Nothobranchius furzeri: one gene and its partner. The protein of the gene in region 1 interacts with the protein of each later gene in a biochemical or structural test. Links are inferred from orthologs where the notes say so. Each region holds a gene or a part of one and is shown on either strand. Other genes may lie near its edges. The genes, in order: drd2a and neuronal calcium sensor 1.

The links.
Region 2: the proteins of drd2a (region 1) and neuronal calcium sensor 1 form a complex in vitro, tested with the Homo sapiens proteins (2 studies listed by BioGRID, with this or other methods). The link is inferred for Nothobranchius furzeri from reciprocal best matches to the Homo sapiens genes DRD2 and NCS1.

The regions. Positions count from the first base shown.
Region 1 is NC_091753.1:39,795,998-39,804,360, forward strand, and holds the end of drd2a (dopamine receptor D2a), read left to right. Parts: intron 1-2,679; coding exon 2,680-2,766; intron 2,767-2,913; coding exon 2,914-3,298; intron 3,299-3,648; coding exon 3,649-3,845; 3' UTR 3,846-4,925; downstream 4,926-8,363. UniProt on the Homo sapiens protein: Dopamine receptor whose activity is mediated by G proteins which inhibit adenylyl cyclase. Positively regulates postnatal regression of retinal hyaloid vessels via suppression of VEGFR2/KDR activity, downstream of OPN5.
Region 2 is NC_091757.1:35,624,169-35,633,173, reverse strand, and holds the end of neuronal calcium sensor 1, read right to left. Parts: intron 6,885-9,005; coding exon 6,746-6,884; intron 5,222-6,745; coding exon 5,143-5,221; intron 4,870-5,142; coding exon 4,781-4,869; intron 4,703-4,780; coding exon 4,625-4,702; intron 3,674-4,624; coding exon 3,575-3,673; 3' UTR 3,567-3,574; intron 3,134-3,566; 3' UTR 2,937-3,133; downstream 1-2,936. Other genes in the region: hmcn2 (hemicentin-1), read right to left, coding at 553-823. UniProt on the Homo sapiens protein: Neuronal calcium sensor, regulator of G protein-coupled receptor phosphorylation in a calcium dependent manner. Directly regulates GRK1 (RHOK), but not GRK2 to GRK5. Can substitute for calmodulin. Stimulates PI4KB kinase activity.

The DNA of each region.
Region 1 (8,363 bases):
CAGTGGATTTAATAGAGTTTTAAAGAACGATCTCTAAGTGAAGTGAGGTTAGTTTTTTGTCTCACTGCAGATATAAAAACTAACTCTGCATCAGTCAGACGCAGCAAAGCTCACCGTCTGTATGAGCGTGAGCGTCGGAAAGCTGATCAAATTGGCTGTAAAATAATTAAAACAAAGTAAAAATGTTCCTTTGCTTTTTAGAGTCCACATCCAGAAGACTGGAGCCATGTTTCACTGACAGGCTGTCAGACTAACGCCCTGATGAGCTCAGCTGGGACAAACTGGTCTGATGTTTAGGTAAGTGAAGATCTGCTTCTCCAAGTCCTTGAGATGCTAGTAAAAAATAATTTAGCCAGCTTGCTAATGTTACTTTTCTTCTCCTCTAAGGAACACAGAACGTTCAGATGTTGGCGTTTCACGTCACCTACTGAGGAAGGAGACCCACCAGTAAAGAGACGGTCTGGACCAGACCAAAGTGAGTGATGACACACCTCAGCCACCCTCATCATTAAGAACACCTCACCCCCTGAATCACTCCGTCTGATGACAGCAGAGTGATTTATTTGATGTTTTACTTGTTTAGTCTGTTTAGAAATTATTGAATTACATTATTTTCTGTAATCGACCATCTGATCTGGATGTGTGCAGAATAACTTTCCCCAAATTCAGCAGCAGCTGGCCTACAAAAACAGCTGCAGCATGTAGTGAGTGTCTGCACCGCTCTCTAATGAGCTTCCTTTCATAAGGAATCATTTGTATAATTTTAGTGTCACTATTTTATTACATTTGTAGGAAAATATGAAGTCACTGCAGCAAAGTGAACTTGTGAACAAACACAAACGTGACTATAAACATGAAAGCTAAAGAAACAACTTTCCTAAAGCTGCTTGTAAACAAAATATGTCATTAAAGTTATTGTCTATCATTGCAGAATATGGCGATGACATCATGGAACTGGTCTTTGGAAAAGTTTTCCCTGAACCAACTCCGTTTCTAGATGAGGTAGAGAAGATCTGCATCTCACCAACTCTCTGGTCTCAGTATTCAGACAACGGAGGTCTCCCACTGTTGTCCAGGACCAGTTTGAAGCCCACATACTGCCCCTCCCTCATCATCAGGAAACATCAATCCGTATCCTGAGGACAACAGAAGACGGCAGGAGGACAGGAACTCTGAGACCTAGACCACCAGCACCGAGACACAAAGCACCTGTGTGCACAACGCCTGTTTTAACTACTAAAGCCTGTTTATTATATTGTTCTACTTATTTGCTGTGAGGTTAATACTTAGAAAATTTGTATATTAATGTAAACAATAAAAAAATCACTGATTGTATGCTTTCTTTTAGATGTAATGGTCCAAACTCAGCCTTGTAGACATTTATTGCACCCTGTAGGTAAATACACAGAACAGGCTCAGGTCCAGGATGACCCAGCATGCTCTTCTTCCATTCTGGCTGTTAGGGATTGTATCAATAACTCAATGCCTACTGATGTTTTCACCTAACGGTATTTATTTAGAATGCAGGTAAGATTTAACTATATTTGTTAGCAAAGCAGACTGATCTTGGGAATTTCACTGCAGCACTGATGTCCACCTCTCTGTACACATTAGAGAGAATTACCACTTTACAGCTAAACACATTTAATAAAGATATAGGCTACGCATTGCAGACAATAAAAACAAAGTTGTAAGCATTAGAATTATAATGATGACATTAAAGAACACTTGGAGGAATGTTCTTTATTTTTGACTAGAATCTCAAATCTTTAAATTAAAATGTAACTGCTTTTTATCCATTTTCAGCCATTAAGACACCCAATATAAAATAAGACTACTTATAAAATTATTTATAATTATATGTATGTATATAGATAGAGATCTTAATAAAATATATTCTTTGAATGGTGTTTTAATGAGCTGTATCATTTTTTTAAACATTTTTTACAGAAATAAGCAAGCAGCATTCCTTGTGTGTGTGTGTGTGTGTGCGCGCGCGCGCGCGTTTGCGTGCTCGCTTGTCCCTCCGTCGGCCGTGACGGGTGTGTGTGAGTGACTACAGACAAATGCATGAGAGAGTTAGCAGCCATGAAACAGCTTGATGAACTACTCTCCCCACGTGGTTTAAAAATGCTAATATGCTATGCTAAATCTGCTATTCTAAATCATGATTTCTCTATAGAACTACAAAGTCCGACTGGGGGAGGAGAGTACAGGACTGCACTATGGAGGGGGCGGAGTTTACGGCTCCTCCTCCAGTTTAAAGAGACAGTACCCCAAAACGGCTCGTTCTCAAGACTCTCCTCAGAACTGGGGTAGATGAGGGTCTGTAGAGCAACAATAATGAGGAAATCAGACCAAAGAACTGCAGTTCCACTGTTTTTAGACCCCCAACTGAAGGATTTAGATGTAAAAAGGAATAACTTAAAAGCATGTTATGTCTCCTTTAACTGTTACATTAATTTATATGTTGGTAAAATAAACGAAAATGTCATTTTGCAGCTGAAAACTTAGTCGGGTGAATAAATTGGTGTTTAAATAAAAAAACGAATCTTTTTTTTAGCTCTGCCCTTGACTGATCTGAAAGACACAACTGTTCTGTTCTTAAACAACCTCCTGTCAGTGGCTCTGACACTGTACTCTCCTTGCATGACACAGCATTTTTTTTTTCCATTTCAGGACAAGTGCACTCATCCAGAGGATGTGAGGTTGTGTACCATGATTGTTAAATCTAATGGAAGTCTACCCATGAACAAGAAGAAAGTGGTGTGTTTCCCCTTTTTTCCCTTTAGAACAATTATTTCCCCCTTCAGATCATTTTTGCTGAAACAAAACACAAACGTGTGGTATATCTATTGCCTGTAATCTAGTTAAAATGATCATCTGAATCTGTGTTCTGCTGCTGATGTTCAGATTTTTATCAAAGATGCGGCCACTGAGGGGGAAGATTTGGAGCTAGATGAGCTGAACAACAGTGGCAGCAGCCAGAAGCAGAAACATCAGGCACAGGGTGTTCTTGGAGACACTCCGGCCACCAGCCACCAGCAGCTAATGCCTGACAAGGCCAATGCTAGCCCCACCTCCACACCTCCCACACCTCCTGAGGAGGGCCACAAAGCGGAGAAGAATGGCGAGCCCAAGGAGGCTCTGTCAGAGCCAGCGCCTGTTATAGCCAAAACCTTCCAGACGCAAGCCTTACCTAATGGCAAGACTCAGACTTCTGTTAAAACCATGAGCAAGAGAAAGATCTCCCAGCAGAAGGAGAAGAAAGCTACTCAGATGTTAGCCATTGTTCTTGGTATGTTGAAACATTTCTTTTGTAACTTCCTGTTTTGTTCAAATCATTCTGTGTTTTGTTTAAATTGAGCTCAGATCACAATCATAAAATCACACCAGAACAGAACAAAGCTCAACCTGATGAAAACCAAATATTTGATCTGGTTCTAGCTAATCACAAGGAGCGGTCCTAGTAGTAATTAGTCGTCTATTTGAAGGCTTTTATCTTCATCTAAAAAAATTGGAAAAACCTAAAAGATCTTAAAACAATGATGCAAGAAAACACACACACGTGTTTAAGATTTAGGGCGTTTTCCCCGTTCCCTTGTTTTTCTCCAACTCATGCCCTTTTTTCCACTCTTATCTCCTCAGGTGTATTCATCATTTGTTGGCTGCCATTTTTCATCACACATATCCTGAACACCCACTGCACCAAATGCAAAGTTCCCGCTGAGATGTATAACGCGTTCACTTGGCTGGGCTACGTGAACAGCGCTGTAAATCCCATCATATACACCACCTTTAATATCGAGTTCAGGAAGGCGTTCATTAAGATCCTGCACTGCTGAGCTGCTGCATCTCTTACTGATCTGACTGGAGGAGAAGTGAAAACTAAAAAGGGTTAGGCCATCTCTTCTGGCAAATACCTCATCCTGTTCAGGAAAAAATGCACCACATGGGAAAACTGCAATCGGAGTTTTAAGAAACAAAGAGAAAAGAAGAAGAAAAACAGCAGAGTGTCTCCTTGGAAGGCATGTTGGCTCTGTGTGTGAATTGTTTGAGGAGTTGTGCTCTCCAAATAACTGAATGTAAAACAAGAAAAGTCTGTAACAATGTGGAAGAAAAAAAAGTAACATTGTTCTCCGAAGTCATTGTGCTTGTTACGTAAGGAGCCATCTGTGTATAACTACACACATGCAAGTTGCAAACTGATTTTCTGTGTGTGTGTGTGTGCGTGCGTGCGTGCGTGCGTGCGTGTGTGTGTGTGTGTGTGTGTGTGTGTCTGTCAATTTTATGTTTTAATGATTATGAAAAAACTTCTGGAAATCCCAAAAATATCACATCAGTGTTCATTGCAGTGTTAATCAGCTCTCTCACTGAGGGGAATGTGTGTCGAAGAGAAGATTAACTTTCTGTAAAATGTGACGATGCCAATATCTGCAGTTTTGCAGTTTTATAAATTAAGCTCTTATCATTATTATTTTGTTTGCTGTAATGTACATAGTTTTAAAACACAGTAACTGTGATTATATGCCTGCAATGGAAATGTGATGCATGCTACACCACTCCTCTATTTGACTTTTCATAAAAAAATTTTAAAAATGTATGTACAAAATACCAAAAGAATTCCCAAAAAATAAAATACCCATGTTAAGTTCCACATAGCAATGTTTACAATATATGATTTATTAATTACTTGTCACTGATATGATAAATGTTGGTGCTAACAAGCGTGTTTCTGCAGTGGAACTGTTTCAAAGCAAACTAATGACCTACCTGTGGAGTTTGCTGCCTCCAGGTTTAAATATTACGATGTGTGAACCTCCTGAAGCTTCTCCCGAGGCCTTTTACATGCAAGACTGAGGTAAATTTGGTAAAAAGAAAAAAAAAAGGAAAAATATCCTGAAATAAAAGCTCCAAGCAGTAAATCCTTGTTGCTCAGGGTGACATATATTGCAGCATATTTAGATCAACATTTAAGGCATTGTTATCTACAACCTTCCAGATTTCTTCTATTACCTTTGCTCAAACTGAGATTGGGTTGAAAACTACGATCTGGCATACAGCACTGAACACAACAGCATTGAGTGTATAAACAGAAACATTACATTTGATGTGAATATGAAAGGAAAGGACCTGCTAGTAGTTTTAGTAAAAGGGCAGGTAAACAGGCTGCAGATGAGATGTGTATCTTTTCCAAATTTGTCTCCAACATCTCCTCACCCCTACTTCACACTGGAAGCATCAGCGTCATAGAATGGCAGCAAAACATTGCTGCTTCAAATACAATCCATTATAGTTTATGGGGGTGATTCAAACTAGCCGCGATGCAGAAATTTTCAGGCACATGTCAGAAGCGGCTCGCTGCACCACTCTGCTAAAGATAGGATCAGGTTCTATTTTTGCAGCGAACCGCTTCTGAGACACATCAATTTCCGCAGTTAACATAGGACTAGACAGGGAATCACACATGGTATCAGTGTAAAACCTCTAATTTTCAAAATGAAAGGCTGCAGTGATGCAATTTCATATGTTTGTAGATTACATCAATACATGTGACCTAAAGTCTTATTTACTCACAGCATCGTTCTAAAAGTGCAGCAGTGCGTTTTTCATGGCTTTAATCCTGGCAGTGGAGAGAAACATCATTTATGACATCAGTGAAATCAATTGTGATTTCCTTCTTTTTGGTTTAATAGCGGATGACATAAGCAAACTGTAAACTTTGAAGCCTCCAGGGATTTTGTGGTCTTGCAAGTCCAGCTAGGAGCACGGCAGAGACGCCGCTCCTTGGCTGAGATTCTCCCGGTGTGTACTAACAGGCAGCGAAACTCACAAGTAAACTGCTCCGCTGCCATTCCGCTCCCCTAAGGCCTCCAGTGTGAAGTAGGGGTCAGAGTTCATTCACATTTCTTGTAAATTAAAAGAAGGAAACCAGGTGGGATGCAGAGGTCCACAGTGACTTTATCACTGTTTTAAGAAAACATCTGTCATGGAAAAACTTTTGAACACATTTCGCATCAGGCGGCACAGCTGCAAGCCCCCGCGACTCAACTACTACGAGAAATTTTGAAACCACCTTCACAAGCACATTTTGCTATTTGTCACCAACAGTCACATCTGGGTGAGGATTGGTTTTTAACCAGAATGCAAAAGACCATAAAAAGTCATTGACAGGGGGATTCTGCTATTTGAGAGTAGCTCAGAGTTGAGTCAGCACTGCTCTACGCTGTAAGGAGCCAATTTAGCTCAAAGGCCATGTTCACTGAGAAACCATTTATTTTTCAAGTTGCTATTTTTGAAATAGGATCAGTCACTCTGACCATCACATGCAGGCTGAATGCGAAGTCTTCAAAACTACTTCCTGCAGTAGAGGCCTGGAGAAAAAGATGGGGAAACTCAGGTTGGAATATCCTGACAATTGCACGTCACATTGGGAATTAGCATTCGTGGATTCACCTAATTTGGCTCATGACGGGGAAGGCTGTTGTTGATTTAGCATCCTGGAAAAAGTAGAGAATGTCTCAACTAATAGAAGCAAATCATTAGCATTAGCAACTTCACAACATGCAGAACTTCTTCAGACTTTTGTTATTTGTGGAGATAAAACATCAACGTTGCAGAGCAGTCAGTGGTAGAGCCGTGTTGCTGATATCCAATTAGAGGTTAGATGTCCAAATATCAGGAAATAAGACTCCAAATACTGCTGTGTTCAGCTCAACTCAGCTGTTGCCCAGTTCCTGAAGCAGGAGTGCCAGAGTGTATGTTCCACAAGTATCGGCTCACAAGACATTCATATATGCTAGAGATCACTGAAAATGCATGGAAAAATTGGTGAACTGGGTGTTTAAGTAAGCATTTGGTAAGGATGACTCCCGGATATGTTCCAATAAGATGATTCAGACATGTCTCACCCCAGGGGTGGCGTTAAGCCTGGCTACTTGGGCTCAAGCCCCGAGTGTTTTATGAAAAGCCCCGGATCTCAAACGTGGAAGTAGCGTGCAGTACCAAAGTCCAACAGAGAGGGAGCAGCGAGCAGGAGTTTGTATGCAGCCTGCCTGAGACTCCACCACTGAAGAAGAAGCCCTTCAGCAGCCGGCTTCTTCTGCAGTGCCTGGTTTCTTCTACACTCTGCTTGAAACGCATGAGTGAAGATGGACATAAGGACGTTTTTTAGACAAAAAGTACAATGACAGAACCCCAGCTTTGATGAGACTGGAGTTGACTCAGGTTTGTGAGTCTTATTTGAAAATATTTGTTGTGCTGCTGGTTTGCCTAAAGTTAGCTTACTATCAGGTAAAGTTGTTGGAGAAAGAAAGGGAATATTTACTATCATCTCACACTAAACACTAACAGGAACAATATTCTGCCCTGAATATGCTTAATATGTAGCTTCAGATTAAAAATTATGTGGTACAAGACAAATATATATGATGTTGACTAGTGTGTGTCACGTGTGTGTGTGTGTGTGCACGCGTGCGTGTGTGTGTGTGTGTGTGTGTGTGTGTGTGTTAAGCCCCGGATCTTCTTCAGTCCTAAATCCGCCCCTGTCTCACCCAAAGGTAGCCACGAGGCAGACATGGGACTTCTAAAGAGCTTATACCTCACAGATGTCCTGAGATCAACTTGGTGTTCCACTGGGTGAGCTGGAAAGAGAAGGGTCATGTGAGGTCTTCTTAAACTGTTCATGCAACCTAGTCTTAGATAAATGCATAAAGCTAGATGAATGGATGTTTTTACCTTTTCTGGTTTGTTTACTTTGTTTCTTGGTTCATAAATGTGAAAGAATGGGGATTTTTCCCCTTAAATGTGACAAGCGGTTCACATCTGATTGTGAAGTAGCTGGGATGAAAATCAGCCCGTCTAAATCCAAAGCCATGGACTTGAATCGGAGAAGGGTAGAATGCCTTCTCCAGGTCATGGACGAGGTCCTGTCTCTAGGGGAGGAGTTTAAGTGTCTTGGGGACTTGTTCACGAGTGAGGGACAAATGGAGCAGGAGATCGATAGGCAGATTTGTCTCTTGATTCATAAATGTTAAAGAATTATGATTTTCCTCTTAAATGTGACAACTGGTTTTAATGTAATCATCGGAATTTTACAACAACATTCTTTTTGTACCTTGTTACGGTCGTGGCACACAGTGGAAAAAACAGGTGATGCTGAGAGCTCTAATGTGAAGGGCTAAATGAAGGCTGATGAGATATTTCTAATACGCTTCATAAAAGAAAAGTGTACTAGATGTTGATCCAGTAGGCAACTGCGGCTCAGGAGGTGAAGCAGGTCCTCCAGTGATTTGGAGGGTTGCCAGTTTGATTCCAGGTCATTCATTCTGCTGTTGCATCCGTGAGCGAGACACTTCACCTGC
Region 2 (9,005 bases), on another chromosome or scaffold:
GCCCCCCACCATCTAAATCTGCCCCCCTGCAGGCTATCCAAACTGGGGGTTGTGAGGGTTTTCCGGAGGCTGAGAAGTGTGTGTGTGTGTGTGTGTGTGTGTGTGTGTGTGTGTGTGTGTGTGTGTGTGTGTGTGTGTGTGTGTGTGTGTGTGTGTGTGTGTGTGTGTGTGTGTGTGTGTGTGTGTGTGTGTGTGTGATTGAGGTAATTACACACAAGCAGTCAGCATATGCTTCTCATCAGAGCACAAACAGGACTGGAGCACTCTTATTCGAAAGCTGAAGCCACACCAGATAGGACAGATGCTGCCGGGAGAGGGGGTTTACCTGTAACTCTAACAATTATCAGTTTGGGTTAAATGTGCTGCCTAACAGGATGGATTACTTTTCAAATGTGTAGCTTTTACTGAATTTTTACTACAAACACTAAATGATAGTTTCAGAATCTGTGGAAAAGGGAGTGTGCTTTATATGCCTGATTAGATCAATGTTGTTTCTTTGAACCCTCATTCTTTAAAAAAAAATCAAAGAAAAGCTAAGGTTGTGTATGGTACCTGGGTCGTGGAAGGGAACCAGGACAAAGTTTTTGATGGGTCTGGTTCTTCTGCTGAGAGTCTTCTCCAGGATCCGCGAGGCTCCCTCAATCACCTGTTTCAGATCATCGTACATAGAGCCGGTCACGTCGAACACAAAGGCCAGGGTTGAGGCGCTGTCATCGGATTCATCGCCCTCGTCAACCCGGGGGTGCGACAAGGACTCTCCCAAGAGCCCTTGCGCGCTGACATGGAGCACCAACAAGAGGCACTTCAATAAGGCACCGGTCATCTTTTCAGTCCCTATATTTACCGCATCTGTCTGCTGGAATGAGGTTAATCACATTAAAAACAAAAATTGAATAAAAAACAGTAAAAGAATGAGAAACTTTGTAAAAAAAAAAAGTGTTAATTCAAAGCCTTTGGATGCCCGGGTACATAGAACAAGTTTGTGGACCGGCGCAACTCGGTTAAAACGCATCAAAATCCGGTTTTAAGTCGTTCCACAGGACATGCGTGCGTAAAGTTTGGAGGAGCGCGCGGACTGGCTGCGCGCAGGGATCCCCCGGAGGGCTGCTGCTCTGACGCTTCAAACGGGGCGGAGATGGGTATTAAAAGGTTCCCAAGACCCAACCTGCTTTTGATGCGCCTGAGTGTAACTCGACCCCACCGAGTGAGGAGACTCAAATACCAGCGCCCCATTACAGTTTGATTTTCTCTTAGCAGTGCATGGACCCCTCGTGACACAGTCCCAAACAACTCCGTGCACATGAAGCTGAAGACAGGGAGCAACATCTTACAGTAACAACCTCTTTTATAAAGAATAATGTTTATATTAAGTGTGATGCAAAAACTGTATCAACACCAAGAAATAAACACTTGGTCTGAAGGAAATACTGATAATCAAAGTAATGTGTTTTTGTAGGCAAATCATTAGTTGTCTTCTCCCAAAGATGGTGGGGACCCAGAGACTTTTTGAGACAAGAAGCTGACAGTTTACTTCAAAATACATTTGTGTTTTACTGCACTTGTTCCAGCAACATGCTGCAAATACAAAAGAAGAACCATGGGACAAAACAGTCTCCGGTCAAAGCTCTGGACAGTTCCATCTTCTGATATCAGCTCCATGTCCTTGATGATCTGAGGAGACTCAGCAACCTCAAAAAGCCGCTACGCCTCATTAACTCACCCATCAGTGCTAACACTTCACAGTTTTATGTTGTTCCTTACACAACCATACAGAGCAGACTCACGCCACAGACTAGGCTGGAGTGTTAGATTCTGTGTTGCAAAGCAGAACAGGCACTAAAGCTTGATATGACACCTTTCACTACTAGGGATGGAGCACAGTGCAGTGGAAGGCTTGGACCAGATCCCATTCCCACAAACATCTGCTTTTATGGGTTGCTGTCTTTACATCAATGGGATTAAAAAATGAATAAATATTCTACAAAGCAGCCTATTAAACCCATTCAAACAGCTATACAAAAGAGAAAGAAACACTTCTAATCACTAAAAACTAAAAATACAGTAATAGAAATATTAGCCACTTAAATGCATTTTATTCTGTGCTCTTAAACTAAACAGGTAAATGGCATTATTAACTTAAAAGTTGCATAAGGCATAGAAGCTGATAAAACATTTAAATTCTTTAAAATAAGTGATTTAAGTAAGAAAAAAGGCATCAGTACATGCTCTGGTCTCACACTAAACAAACATCACATTAGCAACCACAGCGCTCACAAAAGCTTTACAGCCAGAGCTCTGTGTAGCTGAGGGTGGGCAGTGGAGCTCGCCAAAGAAACACTAAAGTCTCAATTCTGATGCAAAGCTGGGACAGTTTGCTGTGTTGCTTTATCGTGCCATTCAGGATGTAATTGTGCAACACTCATGCTAACAGTGAAAAGAGAACACAATGGGATGCACTGTATGGCAAACGTAGTAAAATCTATAGAAAACCATGCCACCGAAGCATCCCTCTAACTAAAAACCCTTTTCAGTCAAGAATGTGTCAAAAGAATCATCCAACAACAATAACAATAAAATTGGAAAATACAGTGCAAAACACTTTTGATAAAAATAAAATTCATTCCATATTTATGAGGAAATTCTCATAAATGCAGCAAAGCAGAAAATAAATTATATTTACATGGTATAATACACACTATACTGCCTTGTAACATTAAGTTATTGTTCATGTCATCACTCAGCAACACTCTTGTTCAGGTTGGGGATTAAAAGTCTCTCCATGAAGCAGCAGCAGTTCCTCTGAGAAGTTCATCTCACTAGTGTGGACAAGAAGCACACCAACAACTCAGCAGGAATCCTTGGATTGTCCAGGAGAACAGCCTCAGAGATGTTCAGTCCACAACACAGAGGAGGTGGTGCTACATAGCTGTAGAAGCACTGATAGTTGGCATGTGTTACTGGAACATCAGAGAAGATGCTTGTAGATGAGCAGCTACTTGACGCATCTTGTCGTGTGATGAACATTTGTTGTCCTCTTTTGGGTGATCGGGGTAAATAATGCCTCCTCCCATTGCAGAAGTGATGGTGCTGCATTGGCGTGTAATGAGGCAGGAGGATGGAGAACTGGAGCCATCTGAGAAGTTGTAAAACGGGTTACTGTGCTGCCTGATGACAGTGAGTTTAGGTGCGTTCAAGAGAAGCATGACAACATCTGATCAGATCCCTGCTATGAACACATACATTATGTCCTCACTTCACAGTTGACAGAACACTGAGCAGGACGTCAGCAACAATTGGCAGCAGCAAGTGCACTACATTAGGCAGTGAGATGTGATGGCTGTCTCAGCCTTCATCCAGCACTGCAAGACTGTTATAGTGCCAGTAAACAAGTGGGCCACTTGAATAATTCATAGAAACAAACTGAGAACACAAATTGCCTCCATCCTTTCATTTCAGCTCAAAGATTGTGGTCTTTGTTAAGCTTTACTCGGGTGTACACATTATTAACATAAAAGTAAAGCATGACTTGAAACGTTGTCGCTCATTAACCCCACCCCCTTACTCACCTGGCATCTTAAACAAGTCCATCATACAGTGACAGTGCTTGAACAATAGAGGGGTCAGCCTTTGAACCTTCCTGGAACTCCTGCAGTGTCAGCTTCCCGTCGGAATTCTGCAACATGAAACAACATGAAACTGAAGACACTGAAGAGTTTAACTTAAAGAGCAAGTCACCCCCAAATCAACTTTTTTTTGCTGATAAACTAAATAAACGAGTGTCTAATCGTGCTGCAGACACGTGTAGTCAATAATTTGGCACTTCAGTGCATCTTAGTTAAAATTTAAATATTCTGCCTAAAACCGTCAGTGTTGTGCCTTTGTCAGGTAAAAACTATGCACTGTATTTGAATTTAAATCTGCCACCGCTATTGGCTAAGAGGTATGCTATGATGTAAACTGGTACATTATGATGTCACAATGCTGTCGTGAGTCTGTGTGTGTGTATTTGTTAGCGGCTCCGCCCTCTTGGTCTGCCAGGCAACGGCATTTGTTGCATTTTTCAAACATGAAGTGGGAGTGGAGTTAGACTCTTGTAGGGGGTGACTTGCTCTTTAAAAACACCAGCAGGGGGCCAAAGCTGCTCTCAGACTCATGGAGCTCCTATTTTAGGCTGATTTTCAGCTTAGTAAACTTGGATAGAAGCTGCAGTCCTTGTAGAAACGAGTGAGAGCTGCACAACCAGTCCTACAGGCCAGTGTTGGCACCAGTAAAACCCCAAACACACAAATACAGCCGGCGTCTCATCTTTCACTGAGACTGATTGGATTCTCTGTGCTGACAGAGTGGGCACTGCGCTGCTGGTGTAGGTGACTATAAACCATGTTTATAGACTGCAGGCAGTATTAGTGACACTAACATGGGTACATTTAACAGCTCTAAACATAACAGTGCCCAAATTAAACTCCCCCATGGGTGGCAACAAAGGCAGATTCATTCCTATAAATGGCAAACTAATAATTCTCCGTTCACTCACAGCAATGTCAGATCTAGTTTCATGATGGGCTACAGACCTGTAGTATTCCTGTCTTTGACACTTTACTTTTCTTAATATTTAAATACTGACCTTATCCATCATAGCAAAAATACGGTCCACTCGCTTTTCTGGTGTGTTTTCCTCCTCTGGCAACTCCACAGTGTTCCCCTAAAATACAATTCAATTACATCCGAGCTCACTGAGAGCTGAGAAGGATCAAAAATAAAAGGAGTAGCCAAAACTTACCACCATCTGATAAATCGCATCGACAATGTTTAACATTTCATCACGAGTTATGTAGCCGTCATTGTCGAGATCATAAAGCTTAAAAGCCCCTGTATGAAGACAAAACGTTAAATACAGGCTTTGGTGCACCAAGGAGACGTTTTACCTGGCTCATGTATTATCACTATGGGTGTGGAGGACTACTGTGATTCTAAAAGCTTTGTTAAAGTTGCATTTTTTAATTTCTTTTTCAAGTTTAAACCAGAAGGCAAAACCCTGCAGCTTCTGGGTTATTATTGTTTAATCTGCTGTTCTTTAAGGATCATCACAATCAAACCTTCAATTCACAAAAACAAAGGAAGAAGCGTAGACCATCATCTTACATCTAAGCTTCTCATCCAGAGTCCCCCTGGAGGTCACTGACAAGGCCTGGATGAACTCTGAAAACTCAATGCGTCCATCCTGTAGAGAGACAGAGTGTGACAGGAAACCCTTCTGTTTCAAAATGACTAACATAGTTCCCGTTCACTCTAAATGGATTTACAGAAACTGCTATTTTCGCCCCACACCTGGCCTTCTCTGAGGCTGAAACGTCACTTTGAGTCATTAGCAAGATCGATGCTACTGGCTCATTTTCCAAAACGTAGACTTCACAGACATAACCAGTCTTTACTGGTGGCCAGTATCTTCCAAATGTTCCATCTCTGAAACTCTGTCCAAACAATGGAGAAACTATTCTTTTGACATTAACTTCCTGTGAATATTCAAGAACTGTGTCCTTCAGAGGGTTTTTTTTGGGGGGGGACGACATGATTTGTGTGGAAGAAAGCCTGGTGGCATGGAAAACAACCAAAAATAAAACAACAACTAGTGGCTCATATTCTGACCATTTATCAAGCGGCCTGAAGCAACAACATCATAAAAAAACAGGCAGCGTCCAGCTGTAAATGAAACCCGCTCACACCGAAAATGAATTCAAAAATCAAGAAGTTTGCCTGAAGGCATCAGATCTTTGAAAAATTCCTGTCATTCCAAAGATTTTCCTGTATTCTTTTACAACAGCTGACTATCTGTACCTCAACGAGTTCCTACATTTCCTTGAGAAAAAAAAAGCCTCAAGGCCCTTGAGGTCAGCTAACTTTATCTCTAGCAGACATCTGCCTGATCAGAAAATCCTGAAGTCATGCACCATCGATTAAAGAAGCCATAAAAACTGTTAAGATCAATGCATTCTCCAGCTACAGGGTGCCTATCGCTAATGAGACTACAGATAAACGTCAGACGTTTGGAGATCGTCTGATCTTTCCAACATAAAGCCACTTATCTGGAATCAGTAAACCTACAGGGGCTCACCAACGACCCAGGAGCTGCTCACTTATAGTTAGTTCACGTAAACGCAATAAGAATAATTGTGTGCAGCTGATGGGGGGTTTCTTCTGCCCAATGTATAGGCTGGCCTTGTTAAAACTTGCCATGTCATCATGTACTTGGATCCCTAGGGGATGTGCCCACACAGACACAAACATCTGTTACACTACTAAAAACAAACTGTACAGACTTTATATGTGTGTTGGGACCACTTACTCCTAATCAACCTATTGCAATGTGAACACTCTCCCAGGCAGACATCTTTATGAAGTTGTTTTATTGTAATAAAGGAAAATTCTAAGAATTTAAGGTGGAATTTTCTAGAATTTCATCAGAAATTATCTCCAGGACCCAAAAAATGCATCAATCTTAACAAATGCCTGCTGAGACCAGAAATTTTGTTTAGTGTATTTTCAAGTTAATCTAACTTGGGGCTGGTATATAATGTATATAATAAAGGAATTTAAACTAATCAGAAAAATGATGATTTGTTGGAGCTACAATTCAACAGACAGAAGCTGTAGCCCTCAAAAGTATCCTCTGGCCCAATGTCCTAATGAAAATTATACAGAAACTATTTATAGTGAGTCTGAAGTAACAAGAGGCATGATAACAAACCTTATTTTCATCAAATACATTGAAGACAAATGAAGCAAACTTTGTTGGATCTCCAAAAGGGAAAAACTGTTTATAAATCTTCTGGAAGCCAACAGCATCCAGCTGCCCACTTGGACAGTCCTTGATGAAGCCCTTGTACCTGGAAAGCAGAACTAGTTTAGAGATCTTTTGAGGTATAAAAATAACATTTTCTACACCGCAACTATAAAATCAAAACACAAGTGGCCTGCAGTGACGAAAGCAAGAAGCCACCTCCTCACCTCTACAGTAGGTATCCCTGACTCAGAGATCTAGAAGGTGAAAGCTATTTGTCTCATTTACAGATAAGGCAATCGCCCTAATCTAATAGCAAGCCAAAGGTGGTTTACTCTAATCAAATTCTTCTCTGCTTCTCTTTTGATATTAGGTATAATAGATAGATAGGTCTGAGAGCTTCCTCTTGGCCCTGGAAATGACACATCCCGAGAACGACTTAACATCTCTATAAGCCTATATATAGCAGCATCTCATAAGCAATTTGAAGCACAGTCACTCAAAGGTAGGCGGTTTCCTGGAATGCCTTCGTAACGGAAAAACAATCGTCATGGAGTCTAAAGAACAGATCAAGGAGCGAGGATGAGTGTTATTCTTAACTAAATTGAATGTTACATGAGCAAGAAGGAAATAGCAGAAGAAAAAAACTACAATAGCAAAGCAATTACACACAAGGGAGCAGTGCTTGTACAGCTCAGATTCTGCTTGGGGTTAAAAAAAAAGAAGTTAGGCTATAATTAAGGCAAGAAAAAAGCTCTGATGAAGAACGAAAGCCAGTTCTGAGCTTCTTCATGCACACTTTTTAATCTTAGCGGGAGATAATAAAGCCAGCTCTACAGAGTCAGAGAAACGGAGAGCTGCAGATGCTATAAAAGAAAAGAGTCCAACAAGAAGCAAGGCAAGGAGACAGCAGAACCATGTAATTCTCACATTTAAATTATCTGGAGATATGCTGGAAAATGAAAGCCCAGCTTTAATGTAAAGTAAGACCTAATTGGTATTCAAGCTGCAGAAGACACAATGCACGTCAAAATCCAGCGCTGACCCACTTTACCTGAATCCTCCAGTTGTTTTATGGGTTCGGCTAATCCGCCGTCTGATAATAAAATATGAATAACACCTGTTTAGATTGATAGAGCACATAATAATAATAATAATAATAATAATAATAATAATAATAATAATAATAATAATAATAATAATAATAATAATGTGTTTATACCTGAAAAATGTTAAATATTTTTTGCAATAAAACATGTGTGTTCTATATCTATAACTGCTGTCCTATTACTGACACATCTTTGGTGTGATTACCAGTTACAGGGATGCTCAATCATCTGTTTTCTACTGAGCAATATGATTGTCAGCATAACTGTAAATGATTTAGATAAAATGATGAATAATTGTGGCTTTTTTTCTACAAATTTCACTACAACAATTAAAGGGACTTTACGGAGTTTTGAATTTTTATGTTCGCGATTGCCCCCTCAGGCAAAAAGCGTAATGGCAGCTTCAATAGGAGGCTCGTGCACGAGGCGCGCATGCTGTACGTGCACACTCCTTAACGAAAATAACAGCTGAGACAGTCCTGTGTGTGTGTGTGTGTGTGTATGTGTGTGTGTGTGTGTGTGTGTGTGTGTGTGTGTGTGTGTGTGTGTGTGTGGGCCGGAGGTAGGGCTGGGCGATATGGCAAAAATAGAATATCACGATTTTTCCAATATTTTATCACGATTTTTTATCCATGAATAGCATAACTTCAATTGCGTATTAAAGAAGAGAAACATTGAATAAATAAACATTTATTCATATTAGGGATAATCAACACAGTGCTAACACACTTATATTTTAAACTCACACCAGAGATGATAAAAGCCCTGAGAGAAACAATTACAAAAATCAGTTTTTCTCGTTTTTCAAGTAACTTAACATAAATTAAAATCATAAACATATTTAAAGTGCAAACATGTCAATTGCAAACGTATTGTGCAAACATTAACTTGTTCAAAATACTATGTAGCTCCCAGTTGCTCATGTAGTGGATAGTTAAGCTCAAATACGGCTCTGATGTGCAGCTGGACCAGAGATCGCTTGTGGTAGCAACAAACTGCGCATTCTGAATATTTTCTTCAACAAGTCTCTAAATAAAGTAAAATTTTCCAGTGCAGATTGGAGACAACCCATAGAAGCACTGATTTGATCTCATTTCAGAGAAAAATAGAACAGGTTA